2 linked regions of the Tribolium castaneum genome follow. The protein of the gene in region 2 interacts with the protein of the main gene of each other region in a pairwise test. Links are inferred from orthologs where the notes say so. Each region holds a gene or a part of one and is shown on either strand. Other genes may lie near its edges.

Evidence for each region.
Region 1: the proteins of IP3K2 (region 2) and Kv channel-interacting protein 1 interact in a two-hybrid assay, tested with the Drosophila melanogaster proteins (2 studies listed by BioGRID). The link is inferred for Tribolium castaneum from reciprocal best matches to the Drosophila melanogaster genes IP3K2 and CG5890.

Annotation. Positions count from the first base shown.
Region 1 is NC_087397.1:4,402,727-4,408,937, forward strand, and holds the start of Kv channel-interacting protein 1, read left to right. Parts: upstream 1-1,850; 5' UTR 1,851-2,153; coding exon 2,154-2,309; intron 2,310-6,211.
Region 2 is NC_087402.1:3,992,075-3,998,382, forward strand, and holds the start of IP3K2 (inositol-trisphosphate 3-kinase A), read right to left. Parts: upstream 3,747-6,308; 5' UTR 3,611-3,746; coding exon 3,600-3,610; intron 862-3,599; exon of another isoform or gene 833-861; coding exon of another isoform or gene 825-832; intron 355-824; coding exon 1-354. Other genes in the region: serine/threonine-protein kinase PAK mbt, read left to right, coding at 5,278-6,051.

The DNA of each region.
Region 1 (6,211 bases), on a different chromosome or scaffold from region 2:
TGTCTTTCATTTTTCTGTTTCTCGATAACTCTAATAGTTTCGCCGTAATTGGCGATTGAAAATTGAAAAAAAGTGAAAATGGAAACCTTTTCTTGCGTTTTTCTCGAAAACTATAAGACTTAGAGCAACGAACAAAAATTCATCTGATAGCGCTTAAATTTATCTATTTTTTCGTCTAGACCCGGAGCCGCTCCGGGCAACGGTTCCGGCTACAGAGGCGATCAAATTTTTCACTAAAAAAATTTATAAAAAAAAAACTAAAAGTCGTGGAGCATTGCGGTTTGTTCCATTGAATTCTACGGCTCATTTTACATATTATATCAATTTTTCACAAGAATTAAAAATTTAAAATTTTTTGCCTAAATTTAGGGTGGCCATTTGTCATAGTGAAAAATTTTATTTATTAAAAAAATGTATAACTCGAAAACTAAAAGTCGTAGAGCAATGCGGTTTGTTCCATTGAATTCAGCGGCTCATTTTCTGTATTATACCAACTTTTCACGAGATTTAAAATTTTCAATTTTTTTGCTCAAATTTCCTGAGTACATTTCACTTACCCATCAAAGAGGTGAAAAAAAATTTTTTTTTAAACTAACTCCTGAAAATTTTTATGGACTTCTACATGTCTTAACAACCCACTAAAGTTGTTAAAAGTCCACAAAAAGTCCAAATGTTCGATTTTTTTATGTTTGATTTTTTCAATTTTCGTCGCAGTTTTTGTCGGTTTTGGGTACCCGGAACATTTCTTGAGCAATAGTTCCGGAACTATTAGAGATAGCCCCATAAAGTGTACTATCGTTGGAAAGCTTTTTGAATTATCTATTTACATTTTTTTGCGTTTTTCTCGGAAACATTTAATAATATTAATGATGACGTCATAAAAAAATAAAAACAAAATTGATCTGTTCAATTTTTTTTTAAAATAACCTAAATCTAAAATATAAATTTTATGCGTTATTTTAAGCTCATTCTAAACAGAGTAAGTTTAAAGTAACGCCGAAAATTTGTAATTCCTTTAGTATAAAATTTATATTTTTTTTATTTTTCAAAAATATAAAAATGCAAAAACAAGTGATTTAGCATTTTAAGTGATCTTAAATTTTACCTAACTGAATCAGTCGTGGCGTTCAATATGGCGGTGCCATCAAGTCATTACAATTTTTTTTTAATTCAACAATATGATTTGTCTTTTATAATTGATAATGTATTTCCCACACAAAAATTTATTGCCTAATAATATCGAGTTAATTGACTGAATGAAAACAGACAATAAAAGTGTTAAATATAGAGTAACATGGATATAACTAGAAATGAATGACTTTTGGTTTATTATTTTTTCAGATGATGAGTTTGTTAAACATATGTCGCATTTCAATAGCGTATTTGCAATAATACATGTTATTTGGCTGCTGTAAAAATAAACATGTGTTCAGTGTTTATCTTTTTTTAATAAACGATACAAGACACCATGTGTTAGGATTACTTACATTTGTTTAAACATCATAATTTTTTAATGTTATTTTTCTCTAAATATTTGCAATGAATAGTGAGAAGCATTTAAGATTTTTACAGTTTTCTTTATTATGAATCGATTTACTAACAATTTCGTTCTGCTTAATCACTATCACACGTATCGTCAGTTTTGATTCAAAGATAATCCGGCATTTTGGGCATTTTCAATTTTTTTTTCCATTTGACTCAATGTTGAAAGAACTTGTATTTCTTCAATTCCTGGAGCTGTTTCCGCGTCCGCAGTCGCCCTTACATTTGCCTAGTGTGCTTCTGCACGTTTTCCTTCGAAATAATGTCAGGATATCAGGGCGTGCGCAAACAAGGCGCAGTCTGCAGCTCAGATACAGGACCAGTTCTAGTCCGGGCGAATCCGGGAAATGCCTACCACGAATCCGGTGGCTCCGTAACCGTTTCCATCGCCACACACAACGTCCACATCCAACACCAATAATTAAGTGATGCGTTAGTTAGATTAATATGTGGTAATAAAGACGCGGAGATCGTCGCTCGATAGCTTAGGCCTCTATTAATAGAGAGATGGACCGGAATAAATGCGAATGCGGCAGATGATAGAATAGTTGGTGCTTGCAAGAGAATGCTAACATGTGTCTTCCACAAGCCCACGACGAATAAAGGAAGACATGGCAACGCCGTCAGACAGCCCTATCGAGGAGGTCGTGTTCGAGATAGAGCCGTCCAGGGTGCCCAAGCCCGTGCCTGTTGCCCTAGAGGACCTCTGCAGGCTCACCAAGTTCACACGACAGGAAATTAGAATCATGTATCGAGGATTCAAAACGGTCAGTCTCTCACTATTATGAAATCAGCTCCAGATATTTACCCAACGTTGTTAATTTACTAACTGTGCGCTCGGGTGTTATTTAAATAATTAAAATCATCCTGCATGGGGAATACATTTTATCACACATTTCGACGAATAAACAAGCGTATTATTTTTGAGTGCACACAAACGAGGACAGGCACGTGTTATTTCTGTCAGGTATAAATATTGTTTCTAAAAGAATACTTTACGTTCTTTTTGTTGTCAAAGCAACATAAATCATCCTTAAACCCGGTTTGCGAAAGCAACCAAAAATAAACCACAACACGAGCGAAACTTTTAAAATTTAATTCAGGCACTTATCGAAGGGAAAAATGTCTTCTCGTTCATTAATATGCATCACAGCCAAAACGTTTTACCCTCCTGTTTCATAAAAAATGCAAGACGGACATGGCAGCTGCTATTTCCGATTTTTACGTCCAAATTCGGATTAATTAATTTTGCTAGTTGGAAAACTATGTAAATTTTCATCCGACAAGATAAATAAAATTAATGGCATTGTTATAGAGCGTTCCTTGGGTTTATTGCTCTACTTTAATTTCTTTGTAGAAAGCCGCAAAGAAGAGCGAACAATTAGATCGGTGGCTGGAACACTAGACTACTTTTTTGTTTTATCTTCGCCGGTACAACTTGTCAAGCGGTGTCGTAAAAACTTTCAGAGGAAGCGAAATTAATTAAAATAAATTCCATAAGAGTGAGGCTTTAGAAAGATTAAGTTAATTGTTGACCATTGAAAAAACGCGCTGGGCTAACATTATCGTTTGAATCTTTCGCAGCTTGGGAAGCAAAAAATTCAACGGCTTTTAATTAGCATTTTAATTAATGGCTACGGTCGCAAATGTGGTGTGGTCAATATCAAAACTAACGGCATTGCTGAAACATTTGCACTTTAATAATAAATTACGCTTATTTTAGATTTATTAGTGTTATCGCACAACCCTGCTTAAATTTTCATGACTGGAAAACCGGATATAGCCAATCTCTGCTTTTAGTTTTTCCATCCGGTATTATGCCAATGAACTCACGTATACCCCATCTACTTTTATATTCAAGATCAAAACATTGCTGTTAATTTTATACAGACATGTATTTATGGCTGTTTTGTGGATCACGATGCTTTATTTTAAACACAACACATTGTACCACATTTTCTCATCCAATAAAAAGACCCATTGGATTATTAAATCTTATTAAAAAATTAAAATGATGCTAACAGAATTAGACAATATCAATTTTTACGTGAACATTAGTATTAACTAATACATTTATTTGTTGATTATTACTAAGGTAATAAGTAGAAAAGTAGATACGCATTTACCAGCAAAAGGCTGTTCAAAACCAGGGATTTAATGTTCCAATTACAAAATTGTAAATTGCCGTAGTTTCAATTAAAAATTCTCTGTTATCCGGAAAAGTGTTTAAGCGTTGGTAATAGCTTTTTACGTCACTTCATTTGCGAGGTCATTATTTAAAAACGAATGAACGCCACAAACCCATCTTTCCCCTTCATTAATTTCTTTTACAAACAATTTAATTTGATAGGTATTTTTTGCACATAAAACTTAAATTACGCTCTGGTACATTTAAACGAAATGGCTTAACATAAATCAAAAAAATTCAACTTTCAATTGTATCTCGTCGGAAGACTTACGTTTCATAATGCAAGTAAACAAGTTGAAACTTTCAAACTTTAGTAATCCCAGAGATAAGACTTTATTCCCGTTTGACCCAATTGCCATTGGATAAGATCGTACGCGAGACGGTGTACAGGATTGTTACATTTCCATAATCCCCCAAATGATTTGCAAGTTAGCTGAGCTCCTCCTATGAACATGCTCATATTGGTCTTTACATGGTTTGCCACAAAAGCTGTGAATTTTATAGGGCAAGGCCTTGACTAAACAGAACACATTCATTGGTATATATGCTTAGATTTTTGTGGATCTTTGAATTCTGCCACATTTTTAGCACATTTACGTTGTTGTGCCTCTGTGTCATTACTAAAATTAGCAAATTAATTTTACATGTACCACACCTCGTAATTTTCATACATTTCCTACATTATTACCACTGGAACATATCGCGCATTTTCAGCCGCTCCGAAAATAAACAGCAAACGGCATTAACGGTCATATTTTAGTAAAGTGGATCTATTTAAGACTTTTCTTTAAACATATCGTGTGATTTAATGTCATGCTGTCCCAAACCGCAACAAATTTTTAATACACATCATTTGAAGTCTTTGATTTCCGAAAATATGTGAATACTTGGCGTTTAACTATGTTTTCAAAGCGAAACTTAATGATTTGGAACTCGATCCGAAAATGTTCTGTATGCACTTTTCACAAAAGATGTCGTCTGGTGTATTCTAAGATTTTTCCAATTTTTTATCGAAAAACTTAAGTGGCCTATAGCGCGTATTGGCAGCAGTTGCTTTTATTTGCGGGGTCAGTTTGAAAGCAGCGCCTTTATTGGTGTTTACTGCCACCAAATCCCAATATCCTGTTGATGGCGTGCCCGTAAAGTTGAGCTAACTGCGACCTGCTGTAAACGTCTTCGATGTGCTCTCTGCTCCGGAACTCCCTTAATAGATTTTACTACGTACCCCGCCTTACTTTATTAGATTACGGCAAATCTCACGGACAGACGTTAATGCTGATTACTTAATTTCCATTGATTAAGCTGGAACGAATTGCCGGTGAATGCAAAATTCCTCAGACCTTCGCATTCAGCGACACTACCTGCGCCTTCCGGACAATCACATCATGTCGTGACTGCGGAGAATTAAACTCAAAAATTTACTCCCCAACAAAATGTTGATGGCAACAATGGGAACGAACCTTGCGTGCTTTTAATGCCTCTCTGTTCAGTTAAAAATAATTAATTATTTCTCCTGGTTGGAGTATTTTACACCTTGAAATAAAGTGAAGATGTCCAATGCAGGGCGCGAAATAAATGGAGGGATTTGTGGGATTTTTTCTTTTAAGATCGTGTATCAAAAATGTTCCACAACTGCAAACTTGGAAAGGGTGTTTTGTCTTGAACTAGCCGCACCTGGAGTGGTTTATGGGCGCACTTAATTGAAGTTTCTCGATTCGGAATTGGAACGAACAACAATTTTCTGCTTAATTTAAATCTGGGTCATTGAATAAAAGATTAATCTATAAGAGAAATGGACAAGACGCTGCCAAAAACAGGAAGTATATTGCAAGTGATCACGGTTCCAAGCTGGCAGGAATTTTTCTACCTACATGTTCTTGTTTCAAGACGCATCTATTTAACACGTCGTTTCATTGACACCGGAATGTTTGAGTAATACTTCCGATTTCTAAGCGCTCCAGAATTAGACTCGATCCAATAATAAACTTGCGAAGACTCTAATTGTGAAGCGAACTCATTAAGATGACAAAATTGAGGACGTTTGGCCAACTATTAATTAAGCAAACGCTTTGCTAAAACACTTTTCTTGTAACGAGTCTATAATACGGATATCTAATTAAGGCTTCGTCTTCATTTAATTCCATTTAAAATCAAATTACGTCCTTAAATTTATTGTCTATCAATGTCTCGGAATTTTCCAACCAGTCGAATGAGATGTAATTAACTCCCAACGAAATTATTTTAATTTGAAACTGCATATACGTATTAATTACAATTTGAAGTATTTGGCTGTGACGTAAGGGCGGCTCGTAAAAATTTTTATCATTTCGATAAAAGGCTAGCAAGCAAACAAAATTTGCATCCTGTGACCACACACGCTATGAATTTATGAGCAGCGTAGACGTCCTGTCTTGGAAAAATTGTGCCAAAAGCCGAGGACATGGAGCGAATGAGTGCAGCAGCTGCAGAGTCCGTCAAAGA
Region 2 (6,308 bases):
ATGTAATTCTCCCTCAGGAGTTTCACACTTTTGAAGATGCTCCCCGATTTGAGTTCATACACCCCGGTACGGCGCTGCCTTTTGGGTTCTTTTGTAGTCGCGTCGTCCAAGTCAGCGTCGAGTGCGCTAGGTGGTGCCATCTCGTCATGTGGTGCCGCAACCTCACCGCCGGCATTATCGCATTCTGCTAAACTTTTGAAATACTCGCGGTGTCGCTCGGCTTTCAGCCGAAGAACCTCGCGCAAGTCTTCGCTGGCCATCATCTCATGGCTCAGGAGGTCCTCGAAGTGGTGCTTGGAGGACCACCAGGACGTCGAAGCCTCTTCCACGCGACGCGACCAGAAATTACTGAAACTGAAGAGGCTTATCGTGTTTGTTTTGTGATTATTGCCAGCGGCGGCTCGTGCCCAACAAATAATTAAACATTTGCCGATTTGGCGCAGTCGGTAGTGCAACTTTAAAAACAGCCATTAAGTGGTGTAAAAGGCGTCCGACAATTAACTCAAACACCGTTGTTCATAAGAAGCAGTTTTTTAGATGTGGTGTTCTCGGTACGAGCCGCCTCTGCCGTGCTGGGTTTATCACTAGTCTTTTGCTGACTTTCTCTCGTGAAATGGAGCCTTACGGTGGCCTTGCTCGGCTATCATTGGCCTCAATCCGGCCGAACCTCGGGCATATATGGCGTTGATATTGCAGCGCACCGATAAAACCGAAGAACGGATTTAAGAGCAAGTGGGCCCCCGTTAAGCCGCTCTTCGTGGGTCAATTACATTAAGTCATTTAGGATTGACGTCAGAACGTTTCGCAACTGGCTTGTCACTTACCACTCCATTACAAATACGAAATCATCCGGAGGTTGGTCTGAAAGAAGAAAAGTGAATTAGTACTCACTTGGTGGCAAGATGCACAACGGTATGACCGACCCACGGAATGACGCTATTTGCTGGAGAGGTGCAATAAAGACATAATATATGAGGAGAGAACAATGTTATCTGAGTAAATTGCTGGATTTGAGTGTTCAAGAGTCACTCATTTATGCATAAACATGCAGAATTACACGCCGGTGTTTAATTAGGTACGCAGCGGGAAGTGATACTACCACACGTGATTCTTTCGTGTTGCCCAAAATTAGGAAAACGGAGATTAGATGACCTCTGGGCGTTGTTCCGAGATTCTTCAGCTTTGTTGCATAATTTGATAAATTCCGAAGTAAACATTAAGTTGATAGTAACTTGCAAGTTCAAAACTTTATTGATTGTGCGAGTGGTTAGCGGCGTGGAAGGAGTTATTTCAACCGAATCCGATTAAAAAATTTGAAGCTCAGGTCTTGAAACTAATGGAAATTGTGGCTTTACTGAATTTTTAATTGGAGCAATATGGAAATATACTCGTAAAAGAAATAAACCAAACTATAATTATTATTGTATCTCGATAACTCTTCATTATTTTTAGTTAATAAAGTTGAACAACCCTGAGTTTTTGTTTTATTATGTTTTTTTTTTGGTAAAAAAATATAAATATAAAAAAATAAATGTTCCATAGAGAACATGTCTTTTTTCTGAGAATATGTAAGCTTCGTACTCTGAAACCTAAAGAGAACATTTTTTAATAATTACAATGGGTACTTCTTGAACTAAACGCTTCTCCATTAAATATTTTCTAATTTTGAGTAAGTAGAGCAGTTCTACTGTATTCATTGTGCAGTTAAACTGTATTTAAAAATTAATATTAAAAAAAAGTTGACTTCTATAATAAGTACTTCTTGAACTTCCCATTGAAAGCAATTTTTTAGTTAAAAAAAATAATTATGAAACGAACAGTCTATTTTTAAAGTAAGAGGACATTTGGGATTAAGTGAATAAAAACTGTTCTAAATTGTCTTAAGAAAACTAGGTACTCTGCTAGAAAAAAAATTTCTGTATTTTGGGCTTAAAACATTTTTTAGGAAATGGAATGTAGTAGCAACAATAGATTAGTTCTGAAGACTTGAAGAAATAAAATAAAAAAATAACATCCGATAATATCAAAAGAAGGTTTATTTAAAATAAATAAATAAAAAACCAACTACTGTAGTATTCTTCTAGTAGGTGAGAAGAAAATAGTTCTTTATAAATTCGGAACCGAAGATCATGAAATAAAAATTCACTTTTGTTATTAAAAAAATATTATAGGTACTTATACTTTTTTAAATAAGGAAAACGTGACTTTTCTTTTTTACATTTTATTCCATTAACGTTTGCTTCGTATTTTTCTTGGCGAATAAATCACTAACATTGCGTCTTTCATAGGTACATTTAGCAAAAATTCACTATCTTCTTCACATGGCCAACTTACATAAAATTTGATTAATTCGAAGTAAGTTGGCCAGGTCAGTTCCCAATTTTTTATAGAAAATCTAAAAGAAAGTAAGGGCATAAAGGTGCCCGGGCGTAAATTTTGGCATAAAAATGTTCATTTTATTGTTCTAAAATCCCTTCTAAAAATATTTAAGTGGTTGAAAATTACCTACTTAAGTGAAGGGATTTATTTTTTTTCACTCAAAAAATAAACCTATTTGAGGTTTTGTTTTTTATAAATCTTTTTTTTCAGAAAAAAATACACATGTTGCTTTGTGATGTTTTAATACAGTATTTTGCAATATCTAACAGGTTTATATTATTCTATTTCGCAATGATGTCAACAAAAGTATGTATAAAATATTCACTAATTGTTTTGAGCAGTGTTTTTCTATTTTAATCGATTGAAAGTTCCAAAAAGCTGTAGGTATTTTTTTGCATTCGAACATGAACTTCCAAATTACAAAAAATTTGAATGTATAAAACAACTAATAATAAGCTACTCTGAACGTTGGTATAGTGGATCTTTGAAATATATTTTTTCTAAATGAAAGCGGAATAGATTTTTCACAAATGCTCTATTTTTGAGTATTTTTTTAAATTCATATTTTGAACATCAGTTCAAAAAGAGTAGGAATACTTCTTTAAAGAAAAAAACTCCTACAGCGTAATCAATTAAACTCTAATCAGTAATCAACTAATCATTAGCCCATATACCTAAAAAATGGTACCGCCACTATAAGTTTAGTACCTAATATCGCTGAAACTGTAGAGATCAAATAAAACAGTACAGCCTTTTTTATTAATGCTGAAGTAGTTGTGTGGAGTACTTCTTGAACTAAAAATAATAGATAAAAGCAAGTAAAATAAAGGGGTTCCATTTAAGGTGTTGATAGATTTCAAAATTAGAAAAAGAGTTGAAAACTAAAGGGACCATCTTGCTGCCCACGTGCTTAATTTTTGTGCCTCCCACAGCACGTGTGGTCCTTTTTGCGCCTTGGAGTACCTCTCCTCGCGGGTGGCAATTTATCCACCGCGATATAAATAGCCCCAAACGACACATTATCAACAATATCCGGTACATTCACGTACAATGATGACCTAATAGGAGTCACTTAATTTATTTCTGTATTTGGAATGCAATTACGTTCGTATAAAATATAGCATTTCGCAGGTAAGCAGCGACCTTCGAACTGTTTATCCCGAGTTGAAGAACGAAGAAAAAAATGGATCAGAGGAGTACGATTCGGATCCCTTTAGTACCTTTGGGTCATTTTCGACGCGGGGACATTGTAGGGGAGGGTGGTTCCAGACGACGGTCACGTGGATTCGAACAGATCGCACAGACTTTCACAGAACGTTCGACACCGACACCGGCCGTCAACTAATGCTAATGGATTAAAAGAGTAAAGAAAATATTGGGCTGTCACATTTTTAAGACGCGCATGCGCTACTTAAATTTAAGCTGAACTCGATTGCCCTATCCGAATAAATATTAATTACGCACATGTTTTACTTAAGGTCTGTTTATTTTATTATTTTTATTACATATCTAATATTAAAGCGTTGTAATAGAGATAATGACACACAGTAAACAAGGGACTTAGAAGAACCATTTGACGTCACAGCGTGCCACAGAGGAAATTTTCTATTATTTCTCAGTGACTTTTGACAATTATATCGGAACTTTTTTGAGTAATATGGCAAAGGTTAACACAAACAATTGATTAACATGCCGCAAGTGCGATTCCAATTTATTTATAGACTGATAAAATGATTTGTTTATTTTATTGCATTAGTGACGTCCGTTGGAAGGTTATTGACTAACAAAAAATAAACAATCGGTTTCAATTAATACCAAACAATAGACGAAACTTTAATTAATTCATATTTCCCGCCCGCCCGTGGGACACGTGACCAATGTTTTTTTTTACATTATCGATTTTTGACCTTAAAACGATAAAATAATACATTTCATTAATGCAGTACTTATCTTTTCGTTTATTCATTTTTATTTACTACAGTTTTATTGGGTTTATCGTTTAACGACCAGTAATTTCGATACTTATTTCGTGTTGGCTTTTAATAAAATTTATGTCTTTTTATCTGGTTCTGATTTGGTCTGATGGTCCAAAATTAAAAAAATGGTGCGTCAGAGTGACGTCAATTGCCTCGCTTTGAGCATATCTGGGACAATAATAAGAAAAAGCTTAATTGTGTTCACCAGAAAATTAATATTTAACGAAGCATAAATTAAAGAAAAAAATCGAGTTGGCGTATCTCAAAATTTTCACAATTCCGCCGTTCTCAATTTTTATCAAACTATCCTTGATTTTTACATGATTGAATTTATATCAACACGAGAACTTATCATTGTCATTAAAATTAATTAGTTAAAAATTAATGCAACTTAATGCATGAATGAACCTAATCATTAAACAATTTCCTCTTGCTCGATTTTTAATAACTGTGAATTGTTTTATTAAATAATTTACCATAAATTATCTCCCGATCATTGGCCATAATCGAATTTACTTAAGTCAAATCTCACTTTAATTATACATTTCGTGTGATTTATATTGCGTTACGCAACTCAACTTCTTGAAAATTCGTGTGAACCCACCCTAAGAAATTCCATCACGCTTGTGAAAGTCACCGGTTAGTGGCGCTCGAATCGCTTAAATCGTCGAAGTTGAGTGTTTTGGTGTCATGTTTTCTTAATTTCCTCAGTTTTTCGTCTTTAATTTCACTTAAAATCAACAAATAATCAAAAACTAGTGCCTTCCCTCTAGTTACTATACTAAAAAAGTGTGAAAATGTCTCGTGACGTATCAAATAAACAATCGAGTTCAGGTTATGTGTGTTGACACTGTTACCGTTGGTCGTAAAAAACGGTGTAAAGGGGCGTAGCAACCTACTTGTGATTCCGTCTCAGACCGAAATGTTTTCGAAAAAGAAGAAGAAACCGCAAATTTCGCCCCCAACAAACTTCGAGCATCGAGTCCACACCGGGTTTGACAAACGCGAGGGGCGCTATGTGGGGCTGCCACTGCAGTGGGCCTCGATTGTGGGTAACAACCAAATCCTCAAATCAACAAATCGGCCCCTGCCCCTCGTGGACCCCTCCGAAATAACCCCCACGGAAATCCTAGACCTCAAAACCATCGTCAGAGGGGACCACCGCTCCGACAGCCGCCTTGGCAAAAACCCCCCCAACGGCATTCTCCTCCCCAAAACCTCCAACGTCGCACGCAGCAACTCGCTGCGCTCCTCCAGCCCCCCGAGACTGCGCCACAGGAACACCAACGTGCCCCCGGCAGTGCCCGAGGAGCAGATACTACAGTACACCTCCATGAGGAGGGACCCCAGCATGAGCAAGCCCCAAGTGAGGGAAAGCTCGCCTGCGGAGCGCTCTTTGAGCAACCACGAGATGCCCCACCATTTGAATGGGAATCAGGAGGCCTACGGGGGGCTGATCAGGGAGCACCCGCAAGTGTCTCCAGCCGGATCCATGGCCTCAGCGGGGCTGTCGCAATTGGGGGCGCACTCGCATTCGAGTCACGGATCGCATCAGAGTTTGCAACAGGCGGGGTACGGGGTCAGGCACGATCAAAATCAGAATTTGAAGAATGGGGGGCAGATGGGGCAGGTGCCGGGGGCGGCGGTGGCACAGACTGCGACGAAGCATCACGAACAAAGGCTGACACACGAACAGGTTTGGTCGATTGTTCAGACTGGGGTTGCTAAGGGGAAATTGATCACACGTTTGGGCATGAGGGTTAAAACTTATTTTTGTGGTCTGACTATATTTAGTCAGTTATATCAATCACTTATATCAAGAACTTTCGTCAAAACTAACTGTTTTCTTTAAACGTTAAAAAAAATCTACTGAAGCCTTAAAAAAATAAAATAGAATAACAACTGTGTACCAACTTATTTCTCTATTATCTACTTAGCGACTGATTCTTAAGC